3 linked regions of the Notamacropus eugenii genome follow. The protein of the gene in region 1 interacts with the protein of each later gene in a pairwise test. Links are inferred from orthologs where the notes say so. Each region holds a gene or a part of one and is shown on either strand. Other genes may lie near its edges. The genes, in order: TRIB3, ATF5 and ATF4.

Region 1 (11,142 bases):
CTGTCTGATTTGCAGGGAGGAGGGAGAACTACTGTGATTGAGACAGCCCAGAGGGAAAAAAGCTAGAGATGATCAAAGAGCAGGATTGTGGAGGAGAGAGCTAGTCAGTGATTAGAAACTATCAACTTTTGAAAAAAGGCGTTTGGTAGTCAGCCTAGGATGGAGAGGCCAGCTCCTTGTTTAGCTGTCTTTTCACTTTTACTATTCTGGGATGGGGGAGGTGATTCCAATACTTCTTCTGTTTTCCCTTGCTTATAGCCCCATATCATAGTTGGGGTCCCAGGTATGCAGGCCCTTTCCTTGAATTTCACTTGAGTTATAGGGGAGCTCAGTGCTTTGTAACTGTTCCTTCAGCATGCCAGAAAGAAAAATGGGAGTCCAGGAAATGGTAGGAAGGGGTTTCTTGGAGATTGTTGGGCAAAGGCTCCCCATGTGGGGACCCCTAACAATTTTCCTTGAATTTTTGCTATGCCTAGTAAACCTTGTAGTCAGTGAATTTTGTATATTTCATGGTTGTATCATTGGTGCTTAGAATCTAGAGAGGGAAGGAACCCTCAGAGGCCATCTAATTCAATCTCCTCATTTTGCAGATGAGGAAACTGAGGCCCAGGCAGGTAAAAAGACTTGCCCAAAGTTATACAGGTAGCATCACAGTAGGATTTGAACCCAGATTCCCTGACTCTGGGGCCATGGTTCTTTTCATGGTACCATAATATATCACTGAATTAAGTGAGTATATGATATGGTTTTGAGGGAATGATTGATTGAGAAGGGAAGCTCCAGAAGTGTAGTAGGTTACAGATTTTTTCCTAATGTTTGAGCCATTCTGAATGATATCACATCATCCCCTAGTAGAAAAGTCAGCATACTGGCAATATAAGTTTTAATTCCTCAGGCTTTTGAGTCACTTGGCTTGCTAGGAAGCTGGAGGTGGTGAATGGGAACTCATAAATAACTTGACTAGTAGATGGCTTGGCTTTAGCACTACCTGGTGGACAAAACAAGTGTGATACTTCCTTTCTGAATAATTAATAACATAGCTGTAATAATAATAAAACCTCCCTTCCTGGAGGCTTAAGAAAAATACCAGTTGCTGTGAGCTGCTAGTGCAGGATGTTGCATAGTGCCTACACCTGTGCCAGGAGGTGACATGAAGGGATAGAATACATCTCAAATTAACAAAGACTGCAGAGTGATGGCAGCACAGGGGTAAGTGGCAATGAGGAGCAAGGAGTATGCCAACTTCACTTTCTAGCTGGAGTGTGGAGGGCATGAGTGAAGGGATAACCTTAACTGGGGAGAGTGACCAGGCTTTCTATGTTTTCCGGGAAGACCCAGGTTTCCCCAAGCACCGAAAGGTGGATGATTGTGACAAGTGAGACATCGGATAGATCCGAGTTTGTTAATCACAGAATAGATGTTCCAAAGGGGCCTGTGTACTCATAGCTACAGTATGCATGGGATTGTTTGCAGGTATGTGTGTATCTCCACAAGCACGTGTGTGTCTGAATATATGTTTATGGACGTGTCGCTTTGTGTTTGTGTTTGTCCATTTGTATTTGTTGTATGAAGACATACCTGACTGTATACGCAGGTTCCTTACTCCTTCTATGGGTACCTATTTATCTATATATATGTATGTTTATGTGCCCATAAGCATCTCTGGACTCATCAGCCTCTTCCAGAGAAAGCTACCTCATGGCTTCAGACTATATGTTTCATTCCCATTCCACTGAGCTGTCTTGAAGTTTAGTGTAACAGTCACAAGGAGAGAGAGAGAGAGAGAGAGAGAGAGAGAGAGATACAGAGATACAGAGATACAGAGACAGAGAGAGACAGAGAGAGACAGAGAGAGAGAGACGAGAGAAAGAAAGATTAGAGACATTGAAACCACATGCCCTGCTTTCAGGTCAGCCCCTTTCAACTGTTAGAGAATGGAGATAGTGTGGCCCTTGCCTATTAATTAATCAACAACTTACCTTGAGTCCTAGGATTTTCTTCAATGGTTTCAGAGGTCTTCTATGAAATTTTCAAAATACAAATTAATTTCTATAGAATCCTGGATACTAAAGTTAGCAGGAACCTCAGATCATTTAGTCTAGTTCTCAGCCTTCAGGCAGGGCAGGGATTATCACCACCATTTCCCAAGTGAGGTGACCGAGGCACAGAGAGGAGAGGACTTGCTAAGATCCCTCTAATTTTTTTTTTTAAGCTATTCAATTGATGTTACTTATCTGGGCAAACCCTCTTGAATGATGCTTATAAGGCAGGTGTGAAGCTGACAGTGGCATAATTGTAAGTATCCAAGGGTTTGTGGGCTTACTTGTGCATGCAGGACCCTTCATCTTTGCCAGAGAGAACTATGGTTCAGAATTCCTCTTTATCTCTACTTGCTGTGACCTTTGTACTTCAAAGTACCATCTCTTCATCTCTGCTTCTATCTCCTCTATGAAGCCTACTTTGATCCACCCAACTAAAACTAGTCTTGCCCCCTATCAATTTTCCCTAGGGTATTGTCTGGATTGATCCTTTGCCCTTCTCAGCCTGCGACCCCATTTGGAGTTTTCTTGACTAAGATACTGGACTGGTTTGCTATTTCCTTTCTCCAGCTCATTTTACAGATGAGAAATCTGAGGTAAATATGGTTAAGTGACTGGCCCAAGGTCACACAACCTGTAAGTATCTGAGGCTGGATTTGAACTCAGATCTTCCTGAGTCCAGGCTCACTGTTCTATCCACTTAGTCACTTAGCTACCTCCTAGCTGAACCTAGCAGGTGCTTAATAAGTGTTTGTTGAATTGAAACAAAACTCTGTGTGCCTGCCATTGTGTCTGGACACGTAACCCTCATGTAACATGTAACCCAAATGCCTGAGTGCTGCCTTTTCATTTAGAGAAGAAGGGACATTGTCCAGATCTGGGATTTCCTTGGCATAGTTCCACTATGGAAATGCCTTTCATCAATGAAAAGCAACAACCTTTTTTGTAATTTATCATCTCAGAAAGTTTCCTGGTGCAATGAGAAATTAAGTGACTCATCCAAGGATACTAGTTACAGCATGTTATCAAACATAGAACTTGAACTCATGTCTTCCTAGTTTTGAGGCTGGCCCTCAAATCACTCTGCCAGTCTATCTGTACACCCATGACACATACCTACCCATATACACACATACAGATTCCACTCCTATGTCAATGGATGGTTGGCTTATCCTGGGGTTTGAGGGCATGCCGAAGAACATTCTTCCCAGGGGTATTGTTTCTCAGTAGTCCAGAATGATCTGTATCACTTTCAAAAGAACAGTGAACTCACTGTTCTGGGAACTCTCCTCCAATATGGATAGTGGCCTCTCTCCTCCTCAGGAGATAGTTCCCAAGGACCTTGTGACTGCGCATCTGCTCTCTGGCAGTCATGACCCTGATGAGAAACCTTCCTGTTCTTAGCTGGGCTTCTCCTCAGAGGACCAAGCAGGCCCATCCTTGGAGGCTTCCTAAGTTAGTAAGAACTTTGAGAATCTGTGGTCACTTCTGTGCTATGAGTAGGCAAAGAGGAAACTAGGAGACTTAAGAAAGGGGACGGGATAGACTTAGCTCAAGGCTGTGTCGAGATGGGGACTCAAATCCAGGTTTTATATAGCCAGGTTTCTTGCCAGTAGATTAGCTATGCAATGATTCAGGTATTGGGAGAAGTTGATCTATGGATCCCCTCTGTAGTCTGGGAGATGGTCAGACTATAGAAATGCAGGAATTCTTTGGGAGGCCTGGAGATCATGTGGTCACTATCCTCAGGCTGAGCTGTTGGGTTGGGTTTAGCAAAGCAGGTCAGAGGTCAGGGTCTTGGAATTCCAGACATGGATCAGTCATTTTAGACTACATAGGCTGCCTTGAGATAACCAAGGCTGGAAGAAGAACCAGGCCGGTATAGGAGATATCTCTCCCAGAGCTTGTTGGAGGAAGGAAAGATAGGGGAAGGCTGAGGCCACTTTTGCTCAGAACTCCCCACTCTCAACACCAGTAAAGATTCCATCCTAATTGGTTTTGGGTGAATGGGTAGAGAGTATTCTTCCTGAACATCCAGAAACATCTTCACTATGGATGAATTTTTCTTTTTTCTCTGAATCTCACTTTCTATCTGTCTCTCTCTTTATTTGTCCCTCCCTCTCTCTCTTGATTATCTAGGGATCTCAGGCTAGATGCCTAAATCTAGTGGGAATGCTGAGCCAGGGCTGATCCTGGCACTTAGGGCCCTGGAGCTGTCCCTTTGTCTTCTGGAGGGAAGGGGATAGGCTGTTGATCCATGCCTACCATCAGGCTCAGTCTTGGGAACAGCCTGTCCTTGGATCTCTGAGGAGGAACTTTGACTCACTGCACAGGGATGGGGGTGGAAGTACAGTGGTCTGAGGATCAGGGGAGGAAGGCCTGATTAGACGGGCTCCAAATTGGGGGTGGGGGCTGTGCTAGGAAGTGGGAGGGCACAGATTGGGGGGTGGGGTTTAAGAAAGAAATGTTTCCAAGTGTAATGCCTCCTTCCTAAGGGGGAGCAGATAGCCTTGACCCACAAAGAGGAGTCTTTATACCAAGTAAAAGAATTGAACTGGTTAGGAAAAACTCTAAGGATACAACTTTCATTTCCCTACCACAAACCCGAACCTGGCAGTCTCAAGTGTTTCTAGGGGATGTGAGGGCTGGGGCCTACCTTAGGGTTGGCAGGCTAGGCTACCTGAAGGACAGCTCCCTTAACTCACTCTTGGCCAGGGGGAGGCTCTTCTTGTGGAGTCAGTTGTCCTCTGCCCTTTTCCACAGCTGCCTGATAGTATCTGAATTGCTGAATATTCCCAGGGATCTGGGCAAGAGAATTCAGAACAGGTGGGGTAACTGTTACCTCACTAGGAATCCCCAGTCACCCCTAATGACACGTCTCTTTACACGGAGCTGTAGTATGTGAGCTCTTTTTCATCTTTGTAGCCCCAGCCTGGAGAAGTGCTTGGTACTTAGTACGCGTCTAAGAAGTGCTTGTAGATAGATTCATTGATTAACTATAATGCAAAATTTGTGGTGCACAAGGAGGCTGGGGGTGCTTCTTAAACCTGGAGGCCTTATTGTCTCTCTCATCTTTCTGATCATGTCTCTATTTCTGGAAAGGGGGGGAGAGAGGTAAGGTTTTTCTGAGTGGAGAAGAGGGAGGAGGTGTCAAGTTTCTCCACACTTCTCCTTAATTAGTCATTATGCCCTGAAATACCACTTGTCACCCAGGGCACCCAGGATATACTTGTCTTCCCTATGTCCATACCCAAAGACATCTGTCCTCTACAGTGTCTAATCTCCATGGGACTATGTTCCCAAGTGTCCCCCCACCATGGTATCCATATCCAATGTACCCATACCCCAAGATACCCACCTGGGGTAGATACACCCCAAAGTCCCCATCCTCAGCTGGGGAAACATCCCAAAGTGATGCCCACACCTTAAGGTAACTATGCATCTCAAAGTATCCACTTTTATGATATCCATATTATAAGGTGTCTGCCTTCCACAGTGTCCATCTCAAAATGACTGTTCTCCAAATATCTACACCCCAAGGTTTTCTCCCTCCATGGGGACCACATCCCAGTGTGTTCCCCAAGGTACCCATTATCCAGGCTTCCCATAGCATTAGGTTACCACCCTCTTTGGTGCCTCCCCTGTGTGGTTTCAACACCTCTGCCTGCCCTTCATGCCATCAGTATCTGGGTAGGAAAGAAGAGGTTCTTAAGATCCATCCTGGCTTTTTATTGAGAGAGAAGACAGGGGAAGAAGGGAACAGAGAGGGCTGTGGGGTCAGGCAAAAGTGGGGTTAGGCCAGTGACCTCATACACCAGTGGAGCTGAGACCCTGGTAGCCAGGTGGCTTTTCAGATAAACAGGATGAACTCCAACTCCCTCCCTAAGCCAGTCCTGGGCACAGGTTGCCCCCTGGTGGTGATGGGAGAAAGGATACCTCTTGTTGTTGGACCCAGGATGGGGATACTTGAGAAACTGGCTTGGGTGGACAGAGCATGGAGACATCAATTTCTTCCAGGGATACACTCATGTCTCCATCCAGAAAGCCCAGCTCCCCACCCCTGGGAGCTAGTTCATTGGAAATAGCACTGGAGTGGGAATCGGGTGACCTGGGTCTGTTTTCCACTTCTGCCACGGACTCTCTTTGAGATAGGAAAGTCTCTTCCTCAGCCTGGTCCTCAGTTTCTTCTTCTGTAAAATGGAGACAATTATCCTAGTTTTGCCTCTCTCACAGGACTTTTATGAGGAACTAATGGGACAATAGATGTAAGTGCTTTAAAGAAAGATGAAAGTATGAGAGATTCTTATTGCATGATGGCCTGTTATAGGAAGCAGGGACCATCTGTTTGGGGGATGGGGAGGGAGGGAAGTTCAACAGTCTTGGGAAAGGATACATACAGAGGGGCCCTATCTCATCTCCCCCCCCAAATTACTTTGCCCACCCAGATGTTTCTCTCCATGAAGAGACAAAGACTCTGAATGTTAGAGTCACAAAATGGCAGAGCCGGAAGCGACCTTAGAACACAGAACATTAAAACATAGAATGTTTGAGCTGGAAATCACTTTAGAATATAGAACTTTAAAACACAGACCATAAAATGCTGAAGCTGGAAGGAACATAGAATTTTCGAGCTGGAAGGTACACATAATGTTAGAATACATAAACATAGACAATCAGAGCTAGAAAAAACCTTAGTGAGTTTTTAGCTCTTGAATGTAAGGGAAAACAACCCCAGGGAGAAGAGACTTACCCAAAATCACACAGTTCTTCAGTGGCAGAGTGAGTTCATGAGATCCAGGTTCCAGGCTAGAAAAAGAGAGAGCTAAGTTGTTCTTCTGTGGAACCCTGACCTGTTAGCCATTCCCCAGTAGGGATGGGGGAAGGAACAGCAGGGGTCCCCAACCTTGGACATTTCCACCCCTTGGTCTAGCTTCTTGGGGCTGGGGCTGGGTGAGTAGCCTTGAGTCAAGTGCCCCACTGGGATCAGGAAGGAAAAGGAGCAGTAAAGGAAAAAGGGATGTAGACCAGAAGAGTGAGCCCCAAAGGGCAGGGACCCCAAGTTCTGACTCAGTGATGCCTCCTCCCACAATTGGGCTGCTCCTGAGTTAGGCTTAGGACTTATACTTGGGCTGGATAGGATGAACCCCTGAGGGACCAAAGGGGATACTCATGGCAGTGGAGGGGAAGCCCAGATCCCCACCAGCTCTGGGGCCTCTGGCATAAGATGGGTGCCCGCTGCTGTGCTTCTTCATCCTCCCTGTCCACAGGCTCTGCCTTGGGTTCTGGCTTGAGTCGGGTCAACAGGACCAAGAGCATGCAAGTACTCAGCAGGATGGCAGCAACAGCACAGAGAGCACTACCCGCTAGGCGGCAAGTGCCTAGAGCCTTGTTGTACTGAGCTGCTCGCTGGTCCAGAACCAGAAACTCTCCTGCTCCGATGCCCTCCAACTTAGGCGGCACAGCATAGCCCGTGGTCAGGGCAGCGGCTCCCAGGAGCAGCAAGAGGAGCGACAAGGACACAACTCCCTGGGAAGAGGAAGACAGGCAGTGGGGGAAGGGCTGTGGGGAGGCAAGTGGCTGACACCCATACCTAGGGTTGTCAGTAAAAATGGGTTGGTTTGATTTTGTAAGTGGTTTTTATAGGATTCAGAAAGGACCTTAGAGATCAGGTAGTCCATCTGTCTTCCCACCTTCTAGCCATTTTAAACACGAGGAAACTGAGCCCCAATGAGGATAAGTAACATCCTAAGATTACCTAAGTAGTAGATTTGAACTGGGACTTGAACCCAAGTACTCTGACCTCAATCAATCAAATCCAATGGTGTGGAATTCCTTTACATTATACTACCTTGTTCCTGCTTTGGGGGGTGTGGGTGGGGATGGTATAGGGTGCTGTGAATAATGTATAGGTTGGTCTTTTATTCCTTTTCATAGTACCCATATGAACTATGCAGTCATACAGGAAAAACCAAGTGGATGAAAAATGAATATCATTCAGATTATGATATTCCACTTGAGGGGTAGTCTGTAGAAATAATTGAGTGCCATGTATATCTTGGCCAGGTGAATCAAGGAATACAAGCTCAGAAAATTCATAGCCACAAAAGGCTGACCCAAACAGCAATGGAAAGATCCATGGTGGGTGTGATTAGGCTGGAACATATTACCAATGATGACGCCATTGTATGATGATGTAATAGGTATCACAAGGACATGAATCACTGGAAAAGGAGATGGACTGTTCATGTACCAAGACTGAGAGATAAAATACAGATAATCTGAATACTACTGGTATCCATGAAATATTAATTGAACCAGAGAAGACTTGTAGCATATTGGGTAGATTCTCTATGGATGACTTACAGAAAACATGGACAAGTTTTGTATGGGGTGAGAAAGCATGGATGAGCTGCAATCCACATGAGTGAATAGAGTACCCATGTTGATGAGATCCACTGGACTATTCCAGTATAACTTCCTTATGGATAGTAGGATCTCTGAATCAGAGAGTATGATCAGTCTTGTTGCTCTTATCAACATATTACCAGTTTGCTTTCCAAAAAGATTCACTAATTCGCAGCTCCACCAACAATGTAATAGCACACCTGTTTGCCCATAGTCCCACAGCATTTAATCGTATCAATTTTGCCAATTTAGTGAACTTGAATAGATGGAGAGGCAACCTGGCACAGTGTATAGAGAGTTGGTATCAGAGTCAAGAAGACCTATTCCAGCCAAGCCAGTCTTTCCCCCAGAGGTCCCCCTCCCCACATTCATTCATACCCAGGAGCCTTGACTCACCCTGAAAACTCCCCTTTGTATCCTACCTGTCCCTCAAGGCATACCTCAAATATTATTTCATTTTAGAAACCTTTACTGATCACCCCAATCTACAGTGACCTCTCCCTCTGAGTTCCTAAAATCCCGACTATTCAAACTCTGGGCTAAGGCAGGAAGTCCAGCAATTTGGAGGGTGGGGAGGAGAAGACTTACCTTCCAGAAGGAAGAGGACCAGTCACAGGTGTCCTGGTTATTTGGAGTGGGGTCCTCCACCTCCTCAGGGTGGGCTGCACCTCCACAGTCCTCATAGAAGAGGTGCAAGTAGGAACGGACCCCATTCCACTTGCCATGGTCCTCATGGGGACCACGGCCGCAGGCACACGGCCTTTCTCGGGCAGGCATCATGTTTCTGTCTAAGAGTGGGAGGAAACATTAAGGCTTAAGGTCAGAGCTCCCAAAAGCCCTCGGTCCAGGCCTTACTCCTAACTTATACCAAATGGGATATGAAGCCTGGTTCAAGTCCCTCTTCCTCCCTAAGCCTCCTCCAACTATTCTGCCCCCATTCTACTTTGGTGTAATAGAAGGTTGGAAGGTTTGACTTTGAATTCCATTTGTTCCTCATAAGCTATTCGAATTTGAGTAAATCTTTTCACCTCTGTGGGCCTCAGTTTGCTTATCTGTAAAACCAGGAAATCTATAAGGAAGGGATCTTCCAGCCCTGTTGAAAAGGTGATTTTTGCTCTAAATTATGTAATGCTGTATTTGTTATTGGGGAAAATCTGTTTACAACAGATCATCAAGGCATCTTTGCAGCGGAAAATGCCTTTTCTCCTTTGCATGTACCTGAGAGGTCCCTTTCTGCGTTCCAGTAATCCTGGCTTTCTTCCCTCTGTTTTTCCCAGACAACTCAAAGAAGGTTCTTCAACACCTTCTTGCATTTTGTTTGGGTTTCTCCTCACAATCCTCTGTGTTCCTGAATCCCAAAGGCCCCGTTGAATGGCCTATGTGCAAGAATTAGATCTGATAACGCTTTGTCTGAGTCTCTTCTCCCATCACATTGTTTTTCGTTAGACTTATTTATGTTTCCCCTAGCATGCTGTAAGCTTCTTGAGAGTCATGTTCATATTGCTTTTTTAGTTTTTTATCCCCAGTGGAGTCCAAGAGGCAAAGTGGATACCCAACTAAATTTGGAGTCAGAAAGACCTGTTCAAGCCTCCCCCACTCCACTGTTGTTGTGACCCTGAGAAAGTCACTTAATTTTTCAATGACCTAGGCAACTCTAAGACTTTAAGTTACATAGGGGTAGATAAGGATAGGTAGAGGGAGGTGCCTCCCTAAAGAGTTCCTTATACCAATAAAATCACTGGTCCAGTCTGTATCCCTAAGACCGATGCTCAGAAGGTTAAGAACCATTGGTGCTTAACAAATGTTTATTGAATTCGGTTTGTTGACTTGATAAACCAACTCTACACACACACACACACACACACACACACACACACACACACACACACACCATCAAGATTTTGCCTAAGAATAGATAAGGTATGGCCCCATCTCCCAACACTTTCCCTTTCCATACTTATTTGCATTTAGATCCCAAAGCCTTCTGGAGTTTGAATGTTAAGTAAATTATGATTATAGAATCTAAGAATTGAAGAATCACACTTTTTCAGGGTCAGAGTTGTAAAGGATCTTTGAACTGAGAAAGTTTGAGCTAAGCAGGGCCTTAGAGATCATCCATCTAATCCAACAGCTTCATTTCACAGTGGAGGAAATTGAGACTGAGATAGATTTAGTGATTGGAATGAAAGCATCGCAGACCTGGAGAGAGATCTCAGAAGTCATTTAGTCCAACCAGAGACTGCACAGGAATCTGCTCTTCACAAAGACATCCTTCCAGATCTTGGGCTTGGAGTTAGAAGACCTGAGTTAAAAATCTACATACTGTCTATGAGCTTGGGTAAGCGGTTTAACTTCTGTGGGTGTCAGTTTCTTCATCTCATCTGTAAAATGAGGGGGAGGGGTTAGACTAGATGACCTCCAAGGTCCCCTTCTAGCACTAAATCTATGATATTCTCTACAACATTCCTTAAAAATGGATCATCTAGCTCTTGCTGGAATACCTCTAGGGACAGGCAAGTCACTATTTCTCAAGTCATTATCATTATTTCTAAAGTGTACACACACACACACACACACACACACACGTGAGTTGTTTTGTTGTTGTACAGAGGTGATGGTTAGGAAGTTCTTACTCTGAGATGAAGCTGAAATCTGCCTTCAGGTTATTCTCCCCATTTTTTCTGCTCTGTCTTCCCAG
Region 2 (10,664 bases), on another chromosome or scaffold:
AATAATGGAAGAGATTTTCCCTAAGTAGGCAGCTGTGCAGTAATAGCAAAAGCTGGCTGTTAGGTAAGCTTTTGACATAGAGATGTATTGTAATATCATTACCATACATACATGCTCTCCAAAAGGGTTTTTTCATACGCCTTGTGGACAATTGCAAGCGCAGTTCCACTGTGACTAGGATGCCTCCCCATTACCTAATTCCATATCAACCCCTCCTGTCTTTTTAATATTCATAATTTCTGTTGTGAAATTGTATCTTTGCCTGATAAAAATCCATCTTGCTTTCTCTGAAGTTGCTGGTTCCTCTTGGAACTTAGTCCACTCCATGTGAAGCGTCATTCTCCATAAATGCCTATTCTTGGATTAGAGGTGGTCGATTCTGAATTCTTTGAGATGGTTCCACCATAATATGTCAGGAAACCACAACACCATAACACAATGTAATATGACATGTCTATAGAAAACCAAGGTAAGAAAAGTCCCATTATTCAAGAAAGTGTCTGGGTCAAGGGGCCTTGTCCTTGGCAGAAGAATGCTCCTGGTCGACTTGATCGGGCCTTGTTACTAATACAGGAAGGACCATTTTTGGATTCACTCAGAGAGCAAAGCAAAGCAGGTCTGCCATGTCAGAACATTATGATAGGTCAAGCTCCGACAAGCCAAAATGCCTCTCTTGATTGGTCAATCCAGGTTCCAGGTTCCCCTCAAGTCTTGGGGGTTCACAATTGTTTGGGGAGGGGTTCATAGGATCCAACAGAGAAGACTTAGAAGGAGAGGCTCAGGCAGGGGAACCCCGTGTTACAAGAGCTACAGCATAGGCTGGACTATGTCACTCCACTTCTCAAGAGTCCTTAGGGGTTCCCTGGTACTTCTCAGATAAAATACAATTCAGGCCAGCATTTAAACCCCTTCACAACCTGGCCAGCCTCCCTTTTTGACTCATTTTGTTACTCCCTTTAACTCAATGCTCCACCCAAACTGGATGATGATTGTGGCCACCCATTTCCACTCTGCTTTTGCTTGGGCTGTGTCCCATGCCTGGAATGCCCTCCCTCCTGAGAGACTCCCTGCCTCTCTTCAGGGTTCAGTTCAGGTGCTACCTTCTACAAAAAGCCTTTCCAGATTTCTCCAGTGGTTCCTGCTCTTTCCCTCTGGTCTTCTGACCAGCTCCTCCAGAGCCATCATCTCAATCCCCCATAGGTGGGCTACCTCAGGACAGGGAGACTGGCAGTAAGGATGCTTTCTGCAGATTTAGGGCAGTGCAGTGACATTTAGAGCCCTGCAGCTTTGGCCATAGTCAGTGAAAGATCACACTGTATTGTCTTGGGAATTTCCTTTCCCCCAAATAGACAATTACATTTGCCACCCTGCTGGAAACAATTAGGTTGCTGTTGTATTGGCCGGGTGAAAGTAAGGGAGACTTCCAGAGGTCAGGGGCTGCTCCCGGGTTCGTTTTGTACCCCAGCACTCAGCACGGGGTCTGGTTGGAGTGGGGTAAACAGCACTTGGTGGTTGAACTGCACTGTTACAGGAGCCAGTCTGAAGAAAAGGGAGAAATCAGAGGAAAAAGCCAGGGCTGGGCAGCCCCACTGGGGATGCCTGGACACCCTGCTACTACTCAGGCTCTGAAGTCAGTGCCCCTAAACAGGCTGCCTTTGGGGGACAAGCCCTACCTGGGTCTGAGAAATGCAGGTGGGGTAGGGTGGGGTGGGGCGGGGCAGTTGAGGTGCTTCTGCTTCTAATCCACAGTGGCTTCGAGGAGGCAGCTCCCGGGGTCCTGTGGGAGGGACTGGGAGGAGATGAAGCTGGGGGAGATGGTTGCTATGGAGATGTGCCACTGGGAGGCTGGTTACCCTGTATACTGAGGGAGCTTGCACCTGGCTGGGGAGGGCTAGGAAGAGGAGGGCTCCCAGGTCAGGACTGGCAGGGGCTGGTGGGTAGGAGGCCCCTGTAAGGCGGAGGTGGGGTGCAGGCTGTCCCCTAAACCTAGAAGCCTCTTGTTCCTCCTCTTGGCCTCTGGGCTTCGAGGTTCAGCTCACTTTCCATGGGAAACCTTTACTGGTACAGTGCCCATCATCCCCTCCTCCCGCTAGCATCTTCCCCCTGGGGTTACCTGCTGTTTATTCACACCATCTCCATCCTATGTGGACTTAGTTGTTTGCCTGTTGTCGACCCCATTAGACTGGGAGTTGCTTGGGGGCAGGGGTTAGGCTGGTGTTCACTGGAACGGTGTTATTGAGTCATTAAGTTGTGTCGGACTCTTTGTGACCCTATTTGGGGTTTTCTTGGCAAAGATAATGGAATGGTTTGTCATTTCCTTTTACAGCTCATTTTACAGATGAGGAAACTGAGACAAGACTTTTTCAGGGTCACATAGCTAGTAAGTGTCTAAAGCCAGATTTGAACTCTGGTCTTCCTGACTCAAAGCCTGGCAGTCTATCCAGTGCACCAACTAGCCACCCTAATTATTACTGACTTATAAACACATGCCAATATCTCTAGAGAAGCCCAGAGTCTCCAAGCTGGAGGGATTTTACCTGATACGGGAACCAGTCTGGGACTGAGGCTAGTTGCCTGGGTTGCCTTGAACGTTCCAGGGGACAGTAACCCATAATGATGTTTGGGACATACAAACTTGGCTAGAAGATGGACCATGCCACTCCCTTTCTCAAGAGTTCCTTTCTCCATGCCCTTTGTGACCCAGATGTCCAGAGACCTGAACCCCTAACCTCCCTAGTGGGCAGACCCACTTAGAGTGAGCTGGTTTTTGACCTGCTTCCCAGCCTTATCTCCCCCTGCAGCCATCTCCTGATGACCCCATGTCTGACAGCAGATCTAGGGTCAGGGGGCCACTGGGGGAGCTGTAAGGAGGCCTAGAGGAGGGAAATAGAGAGTGGGCAGAGGGTGAATGTTCTAGGGGTGCAGAGGCCCCAGGCAGGTCCAGCTGGTGCCCACAGCCCAGTCCAGCTTCCTTTCTGACTACACTTCTCCATGCAAGGAGAGTTCATTGCCTGACAAAATTCCACACTTCCTAGGGGCACATGATGGACTCCTGCCCACGTTGCAATAGCAGCCCCTCTACCCCACAGCCCCTAGTGCAGCTACAAATGTGATCACAACCTGGCTCTCTGCTTCTCAAGCACTTGCTATGTGTGACACATTCTGTTGAACCCGGAGGATGCAAATATGAACAAAAAGGTAGTCCCTGTCCTCAGGGAACTCACTTTCCAACCTAACTGGGAAGCCAGTCACAAAGGAAGGGGGGAGTCACCTACTCAGAAAGTGAGATAGGGGCCCCTCCCCCAAAATGGAGGCTGTGGGAAGACCTTGCCAAGGGAAGAAGGGGCCCCCAGGAGGCATGGAAGCTATTAGAATACCCTCCAGGAGGGTAGGGCCATCTAGTAAGGGCTTAACATTTTTTTCCTTCCTCCCTCCCTCCCTTCCTTCCTTCACTGGAAAGTGTCCACAGGCAGATGACTGGGAAGGTGAAAGGCCTTATGAGGACTTCTGGCCCAAATGGGAACATTTAGCTGGGGAGGAGAAAGAAGGCTTAAGGCTGGAGGGGGTGGGGGCTGGAGGAACTGTCTTCAAGTTCTTGAGGGCCTATAAGGTGGAAGGTGGGCCAGCCTTGTTTCCTTGGCTCAGAGAACTGGGGGAAGACGCTACTTTGGGTCAGGGCTGCCCAAGGAGGTGATGGATTTCCAAGACGGAAGGTCTTCAGTGGAGGCTAGTTGGCCTACACTCACACTGCAGAAGAGATGCTTGGTCAGGTGTGGTTGGGACTAGGCCCTGCTTTGGGAGGATCCTCAGGGAAACGGAGGCTGAGCAGGGGCCCTGAGTCAATCCCAGACAGGTGTGGGGCAGAGCACTGGCTGGAGATGGAGTCAGCAGACCTGGGTTCAGATCCTAGCTGTCACTTGTGGCTCACAGTCTGTCAAGGTTCCTTTGGAAGGAGCAGACATGCAGGAATCACATTTGTTTGTGCCTTTGCCTCAGTCAGCAAAAAGTGCCAGTCTGAAAGTGGCACACACCCTGTACGTGTGTAAAATGCCTAAGGACTCTTCCTTCTTTGAAATCGTCTGGGGTCTGGTCAGAGGGAAATAAGTGACAGGCACCTTAGGGTCAGAGGGCAGCACATGGACTGGGAGAGCTGACCCCAGTCCACAGACAGAGAATGCAACAGGACAGAGAGGTTTCAGGGAGTTGGCTGGGAAGCTGGCAGGCTGAGGGACAGAGAAAGTCCCCCATCCCTCAAGTTTGAGCCAAGGGGGTCACAGGAGGAGGATGGGGTTAAAGGTGGCCACGGGGCTAGAGTGTGCTCGGCTGTCCCAGCCCACGCACTCCCTTTCCCCTACTGACCTTCACCCTGACCTCCATCTCATCTCCAGCACTCCCCTCCTCCTCCCCATGTCTGCAGCTTGTCCAAGCCAGGGGTCCTGAAGCCCTGGGACTTTATGACACATATCTAGATAGATGGTCAGAACTCCGAGGTAATAGGATTTAGGGTTAACTCGCTGGGTCTTCTGAGTGGGGTGGGGAAGGGGTTTGGAGCGGTAGGACGTCGAGAGGGTGGGGACTGAGGTGGTCTGTCCGGTCCTAGAACTGACCGGGGCTTATGGGGGAAACCAGGAGCCTGAGGGCCCCTCCCCCGCTTTGTGCTCAGGTATTCTCCCTAGGGGGCCCCTCTGCCTGCCGCAGGATCCGGGCAATCAGGAGTTGTTGCCAGGTGAACTGGTGCCCCTAGAGAATCCCCCCACTCCCTGCCCACATCGGAGCCAGGGCTGATGCAACCTGGCTGCAATGCTGTCACCTCACTCCCTGTGCCTGGCCCCTCCGCCCCAACAAAGAGTCCCCCTCAACCCCACCCAGGTGTGTCTCTTCCCCCCCCCCCCATTCTGCGGGCAGGGCAGGGGAAGGGAGGCGGAGGGTGTTGGGTTTCTGGCTGCCGGCAGGTGGCGGGTGCTCGAGTCCGTGCGGGACGCGGTGTGGATGGGGCTCCAGGGTGGGCTGTGACGGACTGGCACCTGCCGGGCATGACTGGGGCCCACCGGGAGGGCCTGACAAGCGCGGACAGGGAGGCAGGCAGGAGGTCGAGGACTTGGGTTTGGGTCCCAGCTCGAGGCTCACTGCCCGAGTGACCTTGGGCAAGTCGCAGCCCTCCGGGACTTCTCCTCCCCAGATCTAGAAAGACCTCGGGGGAGGGATGACTAGCCAACCGGGCTCGGACCGGCGGCGGCCTCGGGGGGCAGGGGGGCGCCTCCGAGGTCTCCTGCAGGCTCCTCATTTCTTCATGCCGCGTGACTCCCCGCCAGCCCCCGGCACTGGCATGGGCGTTGCGGGAAGGCCACAGGGGGGCGGCAGGGCGCCCCGGGCGGAGGCCCACGTTGCGGGGCAGCAGCGAGGGGCCGGCCTGGATATTTAGGCCCAGCCCCTCACTGTACGGACGAGGCGGAGGAGACTTGGCAGCCCTCGCTGGAGGCCAGGGCCGGTGGGGGCGGGGCCTGGTGGCATGGGGGCGGGGCCTGGTGGCATGAGGGCGGGGCCTGGTGACATGGGGCGGGGCGCGGAGGGATCTGTCAGGCTGCGCTCCGCCCTATATCTGCTCCCGCCCAGGGGGCCGCTTCATTTCCCTTCTCTCCACCTGCCACGGTAATTTGCGCGCAGACCGTCCGTCCGCCCGCCCCGGACCATGGCCCTGTAGCTCCGTCCCGTTGCCCCCGCTGCTCCTCGGCGCCCGCCGCGCTCGGCCTCTCGGCTCCCTCTTCTTCTGCCGCCGCCGCCGCCGCCTCCTCCGCCGGCGCTTTCGCCGCCTCCGCGCCCTCCGTTGCAGCCATGGAGTGAGTACCCGGCGCCTGCGCACTGAGTTCCTGGCGTCTCTTAGACTCCCGGGAGCGGGATGGAGTAGAACTACTGGAGTGCGCTCAGCACAGGCGCATGCGCAGTGCTCGTTTGCTGTGCCTTACCCCATTTAGCGCACCTGTTAAGGAGGGGGAGGGGTTTGGTAGAAGCCTGTGGATTTTTTTAAGGGAGGGCGGGGCCCAAAGGAACGGAGGGCGGAACTTGATAGCACTTTTCTGGTGGAGTCGAGGCTTTGTGAAAGTCTTTGGAAGGGGTGGAGCTCAAAGCCCCTGATGTGGGGGAGGGGGCAGGGCTTTCCGAGCCCTTTCATGTAGGGGCGGAGCTTCGTAGATTTGGACGGGGCGGGTTGAAGGAGAGGCGGGTGTGGGTGGAGCCCTTTGTGGAGGCGGGACCTTAGGTGGGGAACAGAGGGCTCCAAGGCATTCAGGGCTGGGTTTAAAGGAAGCCTTTGAGGAGGAGGGCGAAGGAAGACGCCAGACTAGGAGGGTTTTGGGCCAGAGAGGACACGCTCTTGGCAAAGACCAGGCAGGGACCAAGCTGCCAAAGAAAGGGTGGTCGCTGGAGAATGATGGATGGGGCCAGAAAAGGAATTCTCCTGGGAGGGGGCGGGACTTAGAGTGAAGGGCCTGCCTCGGGGCGGGTCTCTTCAACCAATGGGCTGGAAGAAGGGCGGGTGCTGGTCTTTAGCCCCACCTTCCTAACACCTCTGGGCGGAGCTCGCTCTCACCTCAGCCAATGGGCTGGGGGGGTGCTGGTGTCTAACCCCGCCCCCACGCACTCCCCTTCCCTCCCCGCAGGTCCTCCGCCTCTGCCACCCTCCTGCTGAGCAGCTGTCACTCTCCCCTGAGCCTCCTTCTCCAGCTGGGCCTTGCCTCGGCCTCCACGTGCTCTCCTGGCCCTCGAAGCCCCGGCCTGTGCAGTCCTGGCTGCCATGTCTCTCCTGGCGGCCTTAGGGCTGGAGCTGGACAGGGCCCTGCTCCCAGCTAGCGGGCTGGGCTGGCGGGTGGACTACGGGAAGCTCCCCCTGGCCCCTGCCCCCCTGGGTCCCTATGAGGCCCTGGGGGGAGCCCTGGAGGGGGGGCTTCCTGGGGGCAGTGAGTCCTTGGCAGGTAAGGCAAGAGGGAGGAGGGCAGGGGGTGATGAAGGGGAGTGAGGAGCTTTCCTCCCTGACTGCTACCCCTGCCTGCCTAGGTGACGGCTTCTCAGACTGGATGACAGAGCGGGTGGACTTTACTGCCCTGCTTCCCCTGGAGCCCCCCGGTGCCCTCCCGCTTCCATCTCCATCTCCTTCCCCTCCAGACCTAGAGGCCATGGCCTCCCTGCTGAAGAAGGAGCTGGAGCAGATGGAGGACTTCTTCTTGGATGCCCCCCTCCCACCCCCCTCCCCAGTGCCTGTGCCCCTTCCTCTGCCCTCTTTTGACCTCCCCCAGGCTCCTCTAGATACCCTTGATCTGCTGACTTTCTACTGCAGTGGGGAACCCGGGCGGGGTGAGGGGGAAGGTGGGGAGGTCTTCCAAGCCCCCTTGCCCACCCCGTCGGCCTCCCGGCCAGCCCCTTATCCCATGCCACCCTCTCGGGGAGATCGCAAACAGAAAAAACGTGACCAGAACAAGTCAGCTGCACTCAGGTACCGCCAGAGGAAACGAGCTGAGGGGGAGGCCCTGGAAGGTGAGTGCCAGGGCCTGGAAGCCCGAAATCGGGAGCTGCGGGAGCGGGCAGAGTCCGTGGAGCGTGAGATCCAGTACGTGAAGGACCTGCTCATCGAGGTGTACAAGGCCCGAAGCCAGAGGCTGAGGAGCACTTAGCACATGGGGGCCATCCTGGCTGCTCTCTCAGCCCTGGCCCCACTTTCTCCCTCATGGAGGGGGCTGGGCAGTGCAAAGGCTGAGCCTTGCAAGTGAATGGACCCCCTACCTTCCTGCCCCGCCCAGGGAGGCTCCCTCTGCCTTTCTGTAAATAGGCCTTAGTCAAGGGTTGGGCATTGCCCTCGGGAAAGAAATGAAAGCGGAGCTTCCCCCCCAAGTCTGGGGCTCTGAAACAGCTCTCAGGCCTCGTTGAAGATTAGGCCAAAGGGACCAGCTGGGGAGTGGTTGGGCAAGGGCTGGTGGTGGGTATTGGCTGGGAAAAGAAGTGGTAGGGGAAAGGGGAGGAGCCACACCTGGGTCTAGGGCTTTATAACCAATAAAGGAACAGACTGTCCTGGATTCTGTCTGCCTGTCTGTCTCTCTCTTGGGGCTGCTGGATCCCAAGCATGCACCTGCCCCTGCACACAGGTTAAGGTGCTAGCTGAGGCAGACTCTGCTGTGCCCTTCCCCCCAGACGAAAGATGAATCAGTCACTCTCTAGCCCCCAAATTTTATTGAGTAATTACTAGCACCTTTGCTCTGCTCACCCAGGTAGGACTGGGTGAGCTAATAGAAATCTTCAGGTTCAAAGTTAGTGGGTTCGGAGTCCTGCTGGTTCTGAATCTGTTGCTGCTTCTTATACAAATAGGCCACCTGTTGGGGGGAGGATCCAACTGATGCCAAGAAACACGTCACAGGCCTTGGCCTCACCCCTCCCTGCAAGCCTTTCTCCCCAAATACCTGGGCACTGGAGGTTGCCTCTTCTGGTTTCTTGTCTTTTCGAACTTGGACAAATCGGGGGAAACGAAGGGAGATGCCCTTGTCGCTCTCCACCTGGGTGGGCATCAATGAATGGTCATATTCCTGCCCTGTAGGGCTTCAGTAACCTTGCTTCCCTGCCTAGCCAACAAGTATGCCAAAGGACCTATGTACCAGGTACTGTGCTAATAATAAGCACCTTGCACATACCTGATCCTTACAACCCTGGGAAGTAGCTGCTAGTATGATCTCCATATAATTGAGAAAACTGAGGTCAACTTGTCCAGGATCATGTGGTCAGCATCTAAGGCTACATTTGAACTCAGGGCTTCCTGACTTCAGACCCATCGCTCTGTCCACTCCACCACTTAGCTGCCCAAATTCCCACACTCAAAGAATTTCGGTTCTCCCAAAGGATTCCTGGGCTGTGATTTGGGGACCACCCCAGACAGAATTCCTCCTGCTCTTCACTTCTCCAGGGTCCACAGCTGAGGCCTCACATGTCCCTGTGGATCCCAGCTCCCCAGGACTCAACCCATAGGCCTTCCTAACCTGGGGCCCCCACACCCAAGAGTGTATACAATCTGAATCTCCTCATCCCCTCCCCCTAGGCCTAGACCCCTGCAATATGAGCACCATAGAAGGGGTAGAAGTGACTGGAATAAAAGCTGGGGCTCCCTGGCCCTTAGGCCTGCACTATTTGGGGGGGAGTGTCTGAGAGTGGGGCACATCTGCTGCAGTGCCCTGCCTTGATTGGCCCTTTTCTTCCAAGACAAAGCCCCCTTTGGTACTCACCAACCCTCGGGCTGCTGAATAAATTGGGGAGACAGAGAGATCGGCACATTTAACCTCCCATACGGTGGTTGGCTCTAGCCAGTGGTCAGGGGGGGCAGCACCTTCGGCCCGGACATAGGAACGAGGAGCAGGAATCACGAGGGCCTGGGTAGGGGACAGAGGGTGAGGGAGGGCAGCTGCCTGTGGCAGAACCAGCGGTGGGGGCAAGTCCAGCAGGAGAGCAGCAGGACCTGGGGTGAAAGCCAGCCAGGGGCTTGGGATCAAACCCAGGGGGCAAGCCTGGGGAGGAGAGGGCAGCAGCAGCAGGGGAGCATGGGGAGGGGAGAGTGGCAGAAGGGGGTAGGGGCAGGGGCTCCTGATGTTTCCTCAGTTCTCACCTGGAGGCTCTGGTAATGTTCTTCTAATTCTTCATCACTGAAGCCTGTGCCCAGCTGAGGAGAGGGAGGAGGCAGAAGGAAACATGGTCAGGGGTACCTTCTGTCTCCCACCCCTGAGTGTGGGCCCCTGCCAGGTTGGGCCCAGTCACAGTCACTTCCTCCAGCTCGCCCCACCCCCAGATGACCCTGCCTCCCTCTGACTCAGCAGGCGGCTCCCCACCTTGCAAATGGCCTGGAACTCCTCACTGTCCTCATCGAAGGCAGCCAGGAGAAAGCCCCCGTATCGTCCAGCCCGTTTTCCCCGACCCAAATAGGCCCCAATCACCACCAGGTCCAGGGTGTCCCCGACGCCTTCCAGATAGTCCTTCTTCAGCTGCTTATGGGGGGGAAGAACTCAGGGGCAGGACCCTGGGAAGGGCACCAGGCAGGAGGAATTCAGGCAAGACAAGACAGTGGGGAAGGATGGAGGCTGGGCCATGAGGCTGGCCTCACCTCCATGGAGCCTGGGTGCTGCAGACCAGCTGAGCAGTGGGGGCCAAGGAGAGACAGGCTGGGGATTGTGGGCAAGGAGGAGGAGGGGGTGGGGTAATGGGACAGGGGCTCCAGGGGGCGCGGTCACCTTGAGCCAGTTGTGGGATCTCTTGGCAATCTCATACGTGGCATTAGCGTCCAGGGTCTTCACCATCAGGCCCTCACAGGAATCTGGATCAGAAGACAGAGATGCCCATGAGCTGCTGGGCACTGCCCATACCCCTCTGGAGGGAGGCTCGATCTGGCCACCCTAGGGGAGAGGGGTCCCCACTACCTTTCACAGACTGCTCCAGGAAGTCAGCAATCTGCTCAGTATCCTCCGTGTCCAGAGACGTGGCAAAAACAAATTCGCCCTCTGTCTCGATGAAGTTCTCCCGGAGCAGCTGCCGCCTCCGGGACAGCGGCTCCCGGACCAGGGACTGTGGGGAGAAGGAAGAGGATGAGGATAAGAGCCCCACAGGGACAGAGACACACTGTGCTTAGTGGGGCTTCACTCACC
Region 3 (10,037 bases), on another chromosome or scaffold:
GATGCTGGTATGAGAAGGGATCCAAAGGCTCTGCCCCAATTCCACTCTAATTGTCAGGAAGTGAATCCTGCCTTACATGTCTCCCTCAAAGGGGAGATCTGAGACTACCTCACTTTTCCATTTATGCTTGGCATCTCACAAGCATGTAATAAACACTTTACCTTCATCCCATTTCTGATGTGAAGCTGAAGTAGGCATCCCTGAGATTTCCCACTGCCCCTCGTCCTGTCCTGTAGTCCCTTCCCCATGACAGCTAGTGAGAGGCACTAAATTTCATCCCCTCTTGAGTTCCGTGGCATAGTCTCCAGTCCTGTGACCCTGCTGGGCCTGACTGCTCATCTAGCATAGGTGGAAAGGCTGGGTTTGGAACATCACAGGTGCTGTCAGAAGGGGTCTGCATCAGTTTTGCTAAGCATTTTTTTTCTCTTTTGTTCTTTGTTACTAGAGGTGGCTCATTGGGCCAGGGGTGGCCTACACCTTCACTGAGACATGAAAGTAATGTTAAAAAGTCAATACAAATTTAAAACTAGTTCAAAATAAATGCCCAGGGCTGAGTCCCAGCTAACTGTGACCTGCCCTCTGAGCCCCAGGGAGGCTGTTCTGGGGAACACAAGCTTATCCAAGTTCGCTGAGGAGTGCATTTCCTGAGGGGCTGCTTCTGGGAATGGTCAGAGTTCCTGGGGGCAAGCATGAGCCTTCCCCTTCCCTTCTAGCTTTTTCAGGGGGTGGCACAGAAAGAAAGTTCACATTCTATGGTTTGGATCCAATAAAATGATTTCTCACCTGCTAATTAATTAGCTCTTTGGACATGGAGGTCCTCAGGGAACCAGAAAAAATTTTAGGCCTGAGTCAAAATGTGCTGACTCCTGTTCATTTCACAGAAACATGGAATTTCAGGTTTGGACATGACTGTCTAGACCATATCTGAAAAGGAATCCTCACCACAGCAGACACAGCAAAGGACCTGGAAGCAGGGAAGAGTGGTCACTTTCCCAATAAGTCCCATTCCATTTCTGGACACCTGACAGGAGCGTTTTCTGATGTCCAGCTTGAATTTGCCTTCTGATTCTGAGCTGATGAGTTGAATCATTCCACAATTGTGACTATAGCTACCCCCTCCCCAAGTTTTCTCCGGACTGTGCTGAACCACATCACATGGCTGATCCACTCAACTTGCAACCCCTTAAAAACTCATCCTTTTGATTTTTTTTTAAGTTATACTGAATTCAGTTTTTGGACATGAGTTCATATTTATCCCTACTACATTTTATTTTATTAAATTCAACCCAATGTTCTAGCCTGTTGACATTTTTTTTTTTGGTGTCCTGGGAGGGCACCTACCTGTCAGTTTTCCCTCCCAGCTTCAATTACCAGCACATCTGATAAGCATAGTATCAGCTATTTAAGGCTTTAATAGAAACGTTAAATGTTAGAAAGGAAAACATCCCCAGGTGACCAGGCCCTGATTCTTAACTTAGAACCTTTAATGAGCTTAGCTGTTAACTCAGTTCCAAACCTACTGACTTTTATTATCTTATCATCTAAGCCCACATGCCTCCATCTAATCAAAGGTTTTGCTACAGTCTCCAATTGGTCTCCATAGTGCATTCTGTCTGCCAGGTTTGGTGACCTGGGTCAAAAAGAAAGGAAGTAGCCGTTCTTGACAAAAGGCACACATAGCTTAGCTAAATGCCTCTTGGGAACATGCACTCACTGTTCTTGGGGCAACTCGTCATTCTCTTCCTTTTGGGAGGCAGGGGGAGAACTAGAACGAATGTTTGCCCTTCCTGCCATCCATCCTTACCTCCCGTTGTTCCGCTGGCAGTCTCTACGACCAAAAGATGACGTTCTTCGTTCTTACCCTTGGTATCATTCCCTTTCCATCTGTTTCTTCTTGACTCCCTTCCCTGACGCAAGGATGGCTCGATAGCAAGCATGCTTTTATGGCTTATCTCTCAAGCCTCATTCATTTCTGAGATTTAATGCTGGGACCACTATCTGATGACAGCTATCATGGGCTCCTCAAAACCCCCATCCAAACGTAGGGGCAAGTCCACTTGCCAGGATGGGAAGAGTTGACTGGCCAAGATGGATTGCCCTATGAAGCTAAATGGGAAGACAGATCCCTGACTTTCAAACTATGGACCCCCTTCCACACAGTGCTAGGGTTGGAGTAATAAATTTATGGCTCATAGTAATTTAACTTGCCCAGTCTCACAAAGAATCTCAAGCTTATGAGCAGACACGCTTCTCTCCTTACTCTACGTACAAATTACGGGTAAAGATTCCTGACGTTCCCTTTTCTGTAGGTTCAGTATTTTGGATACCCAGGGACACAGGCGTCATTTCCAGGGCCCTGAAGTTTTCTCATTATTGTGTTGTCCTTCAGATTTGTTCCCAACCTCCAGCTGATCTAGGGTACCTTGTGTTGGTTCCCTCCTCCAACTAAAATTTGCCCTCTCAAAAGCGTTTTCAGAGTCCAGCCTTCTGATGAAGCACATTAAAACTACCAAGTTGCACTTTTACTACAAAATAATTTATTGAGTAAGACAGCACAAGACTCCTATATACACACAAAGTACATGACTACCCAACAACTTAGGGACTTTTCCTCTTTTCCTTGGCTTTCCTGACCTCTTCTATCAAATCCTTCAAATACTGAATCTCTTTGCTAAGGGCATCTGCTTTCTCCTTCAAAGCCTCATTCTTTTGTTCTAGCTCTCTGCACTCCCCAGATAAGGCCTCCTGCTCTGCCCGCTTTTTCTGCCTGTATCTCGTGGCAGCAGTTTTATTCTGTTCCATTTTCTTTAGTTTTTTATCTACCTTTTTCTCTTTCTTGTCCTCAAGGGGACGGTCGTATGGTTTCAGGCGGGCTGAGAGAAATGTGGCATCTGAAGAGAGCTGGCTCTCAGTCAGTAAACCCATGTTAGTGGAGGGGCTATGCTGGGGAGAGCCTAGGTAGGACTCGGGGCTGGTACAGGTCCCAATTCCACTGTCATTATCTGAAGGGGGTTCTTCCTCTTTGATGTCCTTAGGCATCACCCCATAAACAGCTTCTGACTTTCTGTCTCCTTCCAAGACATCCACTTCACTACCTAGTTCTAAACTAAAAGAATGGTCTGGCGTGGAGATCAGGGCCATTACAGAAAAGGGAAAAGACGGATGGGAGGTGAGGGGGGTGACATGATCAGGTTCAAGTAGAGTTTCGGGGAACTGGCCAATTGAACTGACTGTTGAAGGGGAATCTTTGTTAGTAGAGGCCAAGGGGTCAAACAGATCACATGAGTCTTCCAACGTGGCAATGAGCTCAGAGCAGGTGGATTCTAGGTCATCCATACCCAACAAGGCATCGAAATCAAACTCCTTCAGATCCATTTTCTCCACCATCCAATCCATGCCGGAGAAGGCATCCTCTGCAAGACAAAGCAGCCCGTGACCCTGTGAGCGGTGACCAGGTGGGACCACGAGCCGCAGCGAGCAGGGGGGCGGGCAGCCTCCGCCCACGGCCCCGCCCCCCACCCCACTCTTACCCTTGCCGTAGTCTGTGGCGTTGACCACACCATCCACAGCCAGCCAATCGGGAGAGACTGCCTTAGCCTGGTCGCTGGGGAGCCCATGCGATTTGAAGGGCTTGGCCTCCTCCAGGTAGTCATCGAAGGGGCTCAGGCTTTCCTCAACCGCCGAACCCGACTGGCTCAAGGGGGACAGCAAGTCCCCCAACCACAGGTCGCTGTTGAGGAAGCTCATGTCCGTCATGCTGCGGGGCTTTCGTCAGTTGGAGGAAGGCAGAGGAGTCTCGGCTGACAGCAATGCTGCTGCTGGAGGCCTTGGAAAGCCTGCAAGAGCCGGGCGCGAGCCGTGAGACCCCCGCCGCCCATCCCCCTCCCCGAGGGCGGGCGGGGCCCCACTTCCGCCCGCAGTCCATGTACGGCTCGAGGCGCCGCCCCGCCCCCGCCGGCCAGAGTGACTCACGCCCCGCCCCGCGGCCCCCCTCCGACCCCCGCGCGGAAGCGCCGGCCATCTTGTCTCCTTGGAGCGCCCTCCCTGCCACGTTTGGCGCTGGCAGCGCGCCCGCGCCAGCCCCTCCCGTCACAAGAGGGGGCTCGTTCTCCCCCGAAGGGGGGCGGCACGGACGCTTTGCATGGGGGAGGTCGGGACTGCGCACTTTTCCCCCAAAACGGGTTTAGAGACAGACAACAGCGCGACCTGTTTCGTTAGTCCGACACGTACGGAACAGACAGCCAAACCAAGCCCGGGAAGCCCGAGGCCCACCTCCCGCGGCCGCTCCCCCTCCCCCCCACTCACGCCATGGCTTCGCGCTCGAGTTTGCCGCTGCAGAGCCCGGAGCTGCTGCCGCCGCCGCTGCAAGGGCCGATGCTGCCGCAGGCGCTGCCGCCTCTAGAACGCCATGGCGGGCGTCGGGGATGGCGAGGGTCGGGCCGAGCCGAGCAGCACGGGAACCACTGAGTCTCTGCTTGGGCGGGCGTGAAAATGGCGGCCGCGCCGGCCTCCAGCGTCTTATACTGCGCGCTACCAGTGACGCGAGCGGCCTCCCCTGCCTAGGTATTCTTCCGCCGGCGTCACGTGGTCGCTCTCCCGGACCTCCGTCGCTCTATGTCTCTCGGTCCCCTTCTCTTCCTCCAGCTCCGGTCACGATTCTCGGCTGCCAAAGAAAGGGAAGAGACAAATGCCTTTTAAAATCTCCCCCAAACTGGCGGAAGGTCAGGGACTATTTTCACAACTCCCCTCCCTTCTCCCCCCAGCGGATTGCGGAAGAATCCAAGACGCGGTCGCTTCACTCCAGCATCCGGGAACGAGGGCGGGGCTGGGAGTGGCTGGGAGGTAGAGCGTGACAATCTATGCGGCGTTGTTTGCATCAATGTGGAGTCGCGAGGAAACTCAGAAATCGCGCGAGACTCGATGAAGAAAGAGGGGCGTGGGTGAGGCCACAGCGCTGATTGGCCGCAGCGGGATGACTCAACCCCTAGCTCGAGCTCCCATTGGTCCAGAGTCCAACGACTGGCGGGTTTGGAAGAAGGCGGCGGGCGCGGGAAGGGGATGGCGTCGGGCGGGCCGTGGCGGCGGGGAGGGGCCCGACAGGTGGCTGGCGACAGTCACTCCCACCCCCACGCAGTCAGGCCCTGGCTAGTTCTGGGTTCCGGCACCACCGGCAGGCTACCCATGGTCCCTGCAGGCTCTGAGGGCCTGGGGCGGCCTCGAAGCCGGATTTCCCATCCCCCACCCCCTTCTTTCTAAGCTCGGGCCGAAGCCCCGCCCCCTCCGGAGACGGGAGGCTGAGGCCTAGGCTGGCCCGGCTCCCGAATTTATTACGGGGGGGAGGGGGAGAAACTGAGGCCCAGTGACCTCCACGCTACGCGGTCCGAGGTGGCTGGTTCTCCTGACCCCCAAGAAGGGCGGGGCGGCTCACCCCGTCGGGTCGGCCTCTTCTAGTTTGAGGCGCCCCTCCTTCGGGGTGGGGGTGGAGGGACGCTCCTTGCCCCCTTAATGGACTGAATTGGACGTCCTCCCACCAGGCGCTCTTCTACCTCTGGTTGGAAAGATTGATTGATTGATCGATCACATTGGGTGAAAGCGAAGAAAGATCAATGTCCAGGCGCAGGGGCACGGTCCCAAAATACCGGCTTCTCTAGAAGGGCCAAGTGGAGGGCCGCTGGTCTAGACAGCTGACTCGAAAGCATCCCCAGGGGTGGGGGTTGTGACAGACTCCCACCCCCACCCAGTCATTGATTCCAAGGCCAAAAACAGCTGTTGCACTCCAGGGGGGCATTTAAGTTAGACGTGGGGAGAGGGAGGGGTGGTCCTTGTCGGGGTGCACTAGAAGAGCGAGCTTAGGAGGGACAGGTTTTAGGGGGTGTCCCTTTAGAACGAAACCGAGAGGGAAGGGAGGCAGATTCGAAGTTGGTGCCGTCCAAACACCGCAGAGCAGCTCTGGGGACAGAAACGGACAAAAATCCGGGGCCTTCGTGCCCTAACAGAGGGAATCCTCTCTTGGAAGGAGGTTGGGGCGGCTTGGACTGGATGTCCATGGATGGGCTCTTCCAACTCTGGGATTGTGAGCCTAGAATTGCTAAGTTTTCCTTGAGTTGCGCTGAGATCTGCCTCCCTCTCCTCACCCTCTGGCACCAAAACAAATTTGATCTCCCTTCCCCTGGCAGCCCATCACATCTCCTTTTTCTTCCCCCCTCCCTCATCCCTATCCCCTCCTCTTTTTCAGGCTAAACACTCCCTGGTCCTGCCAGCTGATCTTTGTTTGGCATGTAATCCAGTTTGCCAAATGTCCTAGTTTTAGAAACAAACAGGATCCCCCAGGTGTAGGCTGACAGAATGAAAGATGGCAGGACTCCCCTCCCTGGTCTTGAACATGGTGCACCTCTTAAATAAATGCATTGTTTCCAAGAGCTTTTTTAAAGGCAGCTGTGTCTTACTGTTGACTCTTGCTTACAAAAATGCCCATACTGTTTGCACAGCAACTGTCTCGCCATGCCTCTGCCATCCATCCTGCCCTTGTGCAGTTGTCCAAATGTAGGGCCTTAACTTTAATCCCTATTCATTGCAATTCACTAGATTTGTTCTATCATCCAAGGCTGTTGAGGTCTTTGGGGACTCATTCTGTCATTCAGCACGTCAGCTCATTGCTAGCTTTGGCATCTGCTGATATCCAGGTCACAGATAAAAATAATCAGCCTCGGGCCTTAAAAGGGTTAGGGTTACTATTCCCTCCAATTGGATCAGTCATCCCCTTCCAAATCCCCCAAATATAGTCTCACCATTATCTCTCTCCTTTTAGTCCATGAGGATGGTGTGAAGGACTGTCAAAATACTTTCCTGAAAACTAGAGAAATGGTGCCTGAATTCACAGACCCATCTCTTCCATATGTCTCAAACTTTACCAGAAACATGTCAAATTCACCTGCCTAGAGTGTGCAGACTGCCCTCTCTTGGAACAGAGTAAGAAATCAGAGGCTGAGAGAGTAGATGGGATTTACCCAGACCAGGTGTGCAGGCAGGTGAGCACCTACCCTGGATTTCCATTTCTGCTCTGCCACTTGCTACCTATAATCTGGAGCCATCACTTCATTCCTTGGGGGCATCAGTTCTCTCCTCTGAAAAACTGGTCCTAGGCAACCTCTCAGGTCTTCCCCCTCCCCTCAGATTCGGAAAGTATTTTTTTCCACTAGTTAGAAGCAGCATGGAATCTCAGCCAGGAGGTGGGTTCAGATCCCAACACTGACAAGTCACCTTCCTCCTCTGGGTGATCACGTGACCTCCAAGGGTCCTGCCAGCCCTGAATCCTGGAGAATCACTCTACCTTCTCTGGGTCTGTTTGTTGTTGCCCAATGACGTGGGCTCTGATGATTGCAAATCCGGTGAACCAATGGTAGTCACTGTTAAAATGTGTGGGGTGGGGGGAGTGGTTTTAACTAGGTAACCTCAAAGTTCCCCTTTGGTTCAAAAAGCCCATGATCCCTCCTGGCCCATTTCCTAGACCTGCTACCCCTTTATAATATAATACAGTAGCTGACTGTACCTGCCTTCACTTGAGACTGAAAAGAAGTAAGGGAAAGAAACCATGCCAGATCCCCCTTAATTAGGTCTTTATTGAGACTCCACGGATATGTCAAGCCTTAAACTAAGGGTTAGTGCAGATGAGACTGAAGACATTGATCACCCCTTGTATAGTTAAGGGACCTAAGTTCAAATTCTGCCTTTTTGTTTCCTTACAGTGACTAGATATAAAATGGGAGGGGGGGACCTCCATGACCTCAAATCTCTCCCAGCTCTAAATCTTATGAACCAACTTCAACTTGGAAACTGTGTGCTAGAGGGGGAAGGTTAATGGCTCCAGGTACAAATTCTGGCTTTGTCATATCACCTGTGCAGGTAACATTGACTAGTCATCCTCTGGGCCTCCATTTCCTTATGTGTAAAATAAGGACTAAGGTCCCTTCCAGCTCTAAACAATTTGCAGTGGTCTCATATCAGTACTCAAAAGAGGGAGTCGGCTCATTTGGAGTGAAAATGGCAATGGGGGTGGAGGGAATGGAAGGGGCCGAGGATGGCTGCATGCAATGTCCCGATTTCTGTAGTCTATTCATCAGTTTTTCTGGGAAAGAGAAATTTCCATCCCCAATTAGGGAGCAAGTTGGTAGGCAGCTTGGGGGGGAGGGGGCATCTTCTGGTCCTGTTCTGAACTTAGGGTCCAGGGATTTCCTTTGTACATCTGTGGGTTTTATTTGGGTCACTTGTGAGTAATTCTGAGAAAAGGTCCATGCCTAGGAGGTGTTGTTTTTGCACTGGGACATTTCAAGGAAACCATACTTGGTCCAATTCAACATGTGTCTTCCCTCCTTAGAATCCGGGGGTGGGTGTGTGTGTGTGTGTGTGTGTGTGTGTACATGAAGAATAACCACTCTGTATGTAGACACAGAGATTCTGAAACATGGGAACAGGAACCATGTGATCTTTCTGAATTACTGCAAAGTCCTACAAAAATTAATGCTGCACATCGCCAAGTAAAGGGGTTCTCTCCTTGGCTCCCAACACTCCTTACCAAGCCACTTTTTAAGCTGCAAAGGGAAAGGATGGGGACACTACAGTCAACTGCCTGGTCCTGAAGGAAGACCTCCTTGGGTTAAAGGAAAGACCCTCAGATGGGAGATCAGAGGAACCTGCCCTACCCATACCAGTAGCCTCCAGACATGGAGAAAATAGGTTTGATCTACATCAAACACAAAAGTCAAATCTGGTGCAAAGAATGTTTTTATTTTACGTTCCCACTCTTTCAAAGGTCATCAACTCCCTTAGCCTTGATGTTTGAAGGGAGGAGAAAAGACAAGGTGCTGGGCAGGACTGAGTAGAACACTTACCCAGACACCCCCCAACCCCAACCAGCCCAGATGTGTTTGTAGATCAAGGACTGCATATACTGCACTCCACAGAACAAAAGGCAGTTTGTGAGCTTGGTCAGAAGCCCTGCAGGTCACAGGGCAAATGAGCTTCCAGAGATGGTGACCGAGGAGACATTTTCAGCACCCTACGTCCTGCTGTCCTGGTTCTCTGCTCAGCTATCACTAGGTCTTGCAAGGGCTGAATCCTCAGGGCAGAGAAGTGATGGGCATCTGCTTCAAGCTGGGGAAGCCTAGTCTGGCCTGTCCCACTCCCAACCAGGAAAGGAAAGTCAGTCTCTCTAGCAGGCCAATTTTAGGGCCAGGGCCATTGTTTTCCAGCCCCCCTGCCAGGACCCACTGCACCTTTGCTCTCCCCAATGAAGCAGCAGCAAAGGAAGCAAAAGGAGCAGGTAAGGGGACTAGTGGAGATGGTGGCCAACCCTTTCATCAGGAGCATGGACTTAGAAAGTACTAGTTACTTCTTTCCTTTAATGATAAAAATGCCTCAAACAAACATGGGTTGGGGGGAAATGCCCACTATTACCCTAAATTTCTGGGGGTTAGGCCAAGGCAGAACCCCAAAACCTCATTGATTTGGGTTTCTGAGACATGAAGTCAGGTCAAATAAACTCGTTCAAGAGGAGAGGTGCTTGTGCCAGCCAAGAACTTTTCCAGGATCAGCTGTTACTGCAAACAGAGCCGATGTGGGGGCTTGCTGAAGGGAAAGCAGTACCTTGGCCCCCCTCAACCTGGAATTCTTCTACCCTCCCCTTCATCAGTCAATAGCTTTGTGTCCAATAGAACCATTACCCAAAGACTTTCTTTTTGATCCTATGGGCTATTACCTGACTGTACGGCAAGATCATCTTGTCTGAATCTGAAGATATATTGGAATAATTCTTCCTAAATGGATGAAGCGGTTCACATTCACACACACTTTTCCCCTCTTGAGAAATGCCTTTACTTCACCAGAGACCCTGGGACCTGATTTTACTGGTTTGGTTTGTTTTTGAAGCTTTGTATTTAATACTGAGGTGCTACTAATGTACAGCTGATTTGGAGACACAGGCTAGAGGGGAAACTGGAGACTTCAAATACCTTATTGGGTGGATCTTTCCAGTCCCCTGA

Evidence for each region.
Region 2: the proteins of TRIB3 (region 1) and ATF5 interact in a two-hybrid assay, tested with the Homo sapiens proteins (2 studies listed by BioGRID and IntAct). The link is inferred for Notamacropus eugenii from reciprocal best matches to the Homo sapiens genes TRIB3 and ATF5.
Region 3: the proteins of TRIB3 (region 1) and ATF4 interact in binary tests that used the Homo sapiens proteins (3 or more experiments, as listed by UniProt). The link is inferred for Notamacropus eugenii from reciprocal best matches to the Homo sapiens genes TRIB3 and ATF4.

Annotation. Positions count from the first base shown.
Region 1 is NC_092872.1:432,032,686-432,043,827, reverse strand, and holds the start of TRIB3 (tribbles homolog 3), read right to left. Parts: upstream 4,824-11,142; 5' UTR 4,696-4,823; intron 1-4,695. Other genes in the region: NRSN2 (neurensin-2), read right to left, coding at 5,922-6,229, 6,790-6,845, 7,240-7,565, 9,033-9,224. UniProt on the Homo sapiens protein: Inactive protein kinase which acts as a regulator of the integrated stress response (ISR), a process for adaptation to various stress. Inhibits the transcriptional activity of DDIT3/CHOP and is involved in DDIT3/CHOP-dependent cell death during ER stress.
Region 2 is NC_092876.1:12,045,297-12,055,960, reverse strand, and holds ATF5 (cyclic AMP-dependent transcription factor ATF-5), read left to right. Parts: upstream 1-5,599; 5' UTR 5,600-5,837; intron 5,838-6,656; 5' UTR 6,657-6,790; coding exon 6,791-6,968; intron 6,969-7,050; coding exon 7,051-7,664; 3' UTR 7,665-8,063; downstream 8,064-10,664. Other genes in the region: LIG1 (DNA ligase 1), read right to left, coding at 8,271-8,357, 8,445-8,537, 9,258-9,401, 9,635-9,688, 9,855-10,007, 10,254-10,336, 10,440-10,584, 10,664-10,664.
Region 3 is NC_092874.1:298,749,314-298,759,350, reverse strand, and holds ATF4 (cyclic AMP-dependent transcription factor ATF-4), read right to left. Parts: upstream 4,444-10,037; 5' UTR 4,306-4,443; intron 3,837-4,305; 5' UTR 3,757-3,836; coding exon 3,531-3,756; intron 3,414-3,530; coding exon 2,599-3,413; 3' UTR 2,515-2,598; downstream 1-2,514. UniProt on the Homo sapiens protein: Transcription factor that binds the cAMP response element (CRE) (consensus: 5'-GTGACGT[AC][AG]-3') and displays two biological functions, as regulator of metabolic and redox processes under normal cellular conditions, and as master transcription factor during integrated stress response (ISR).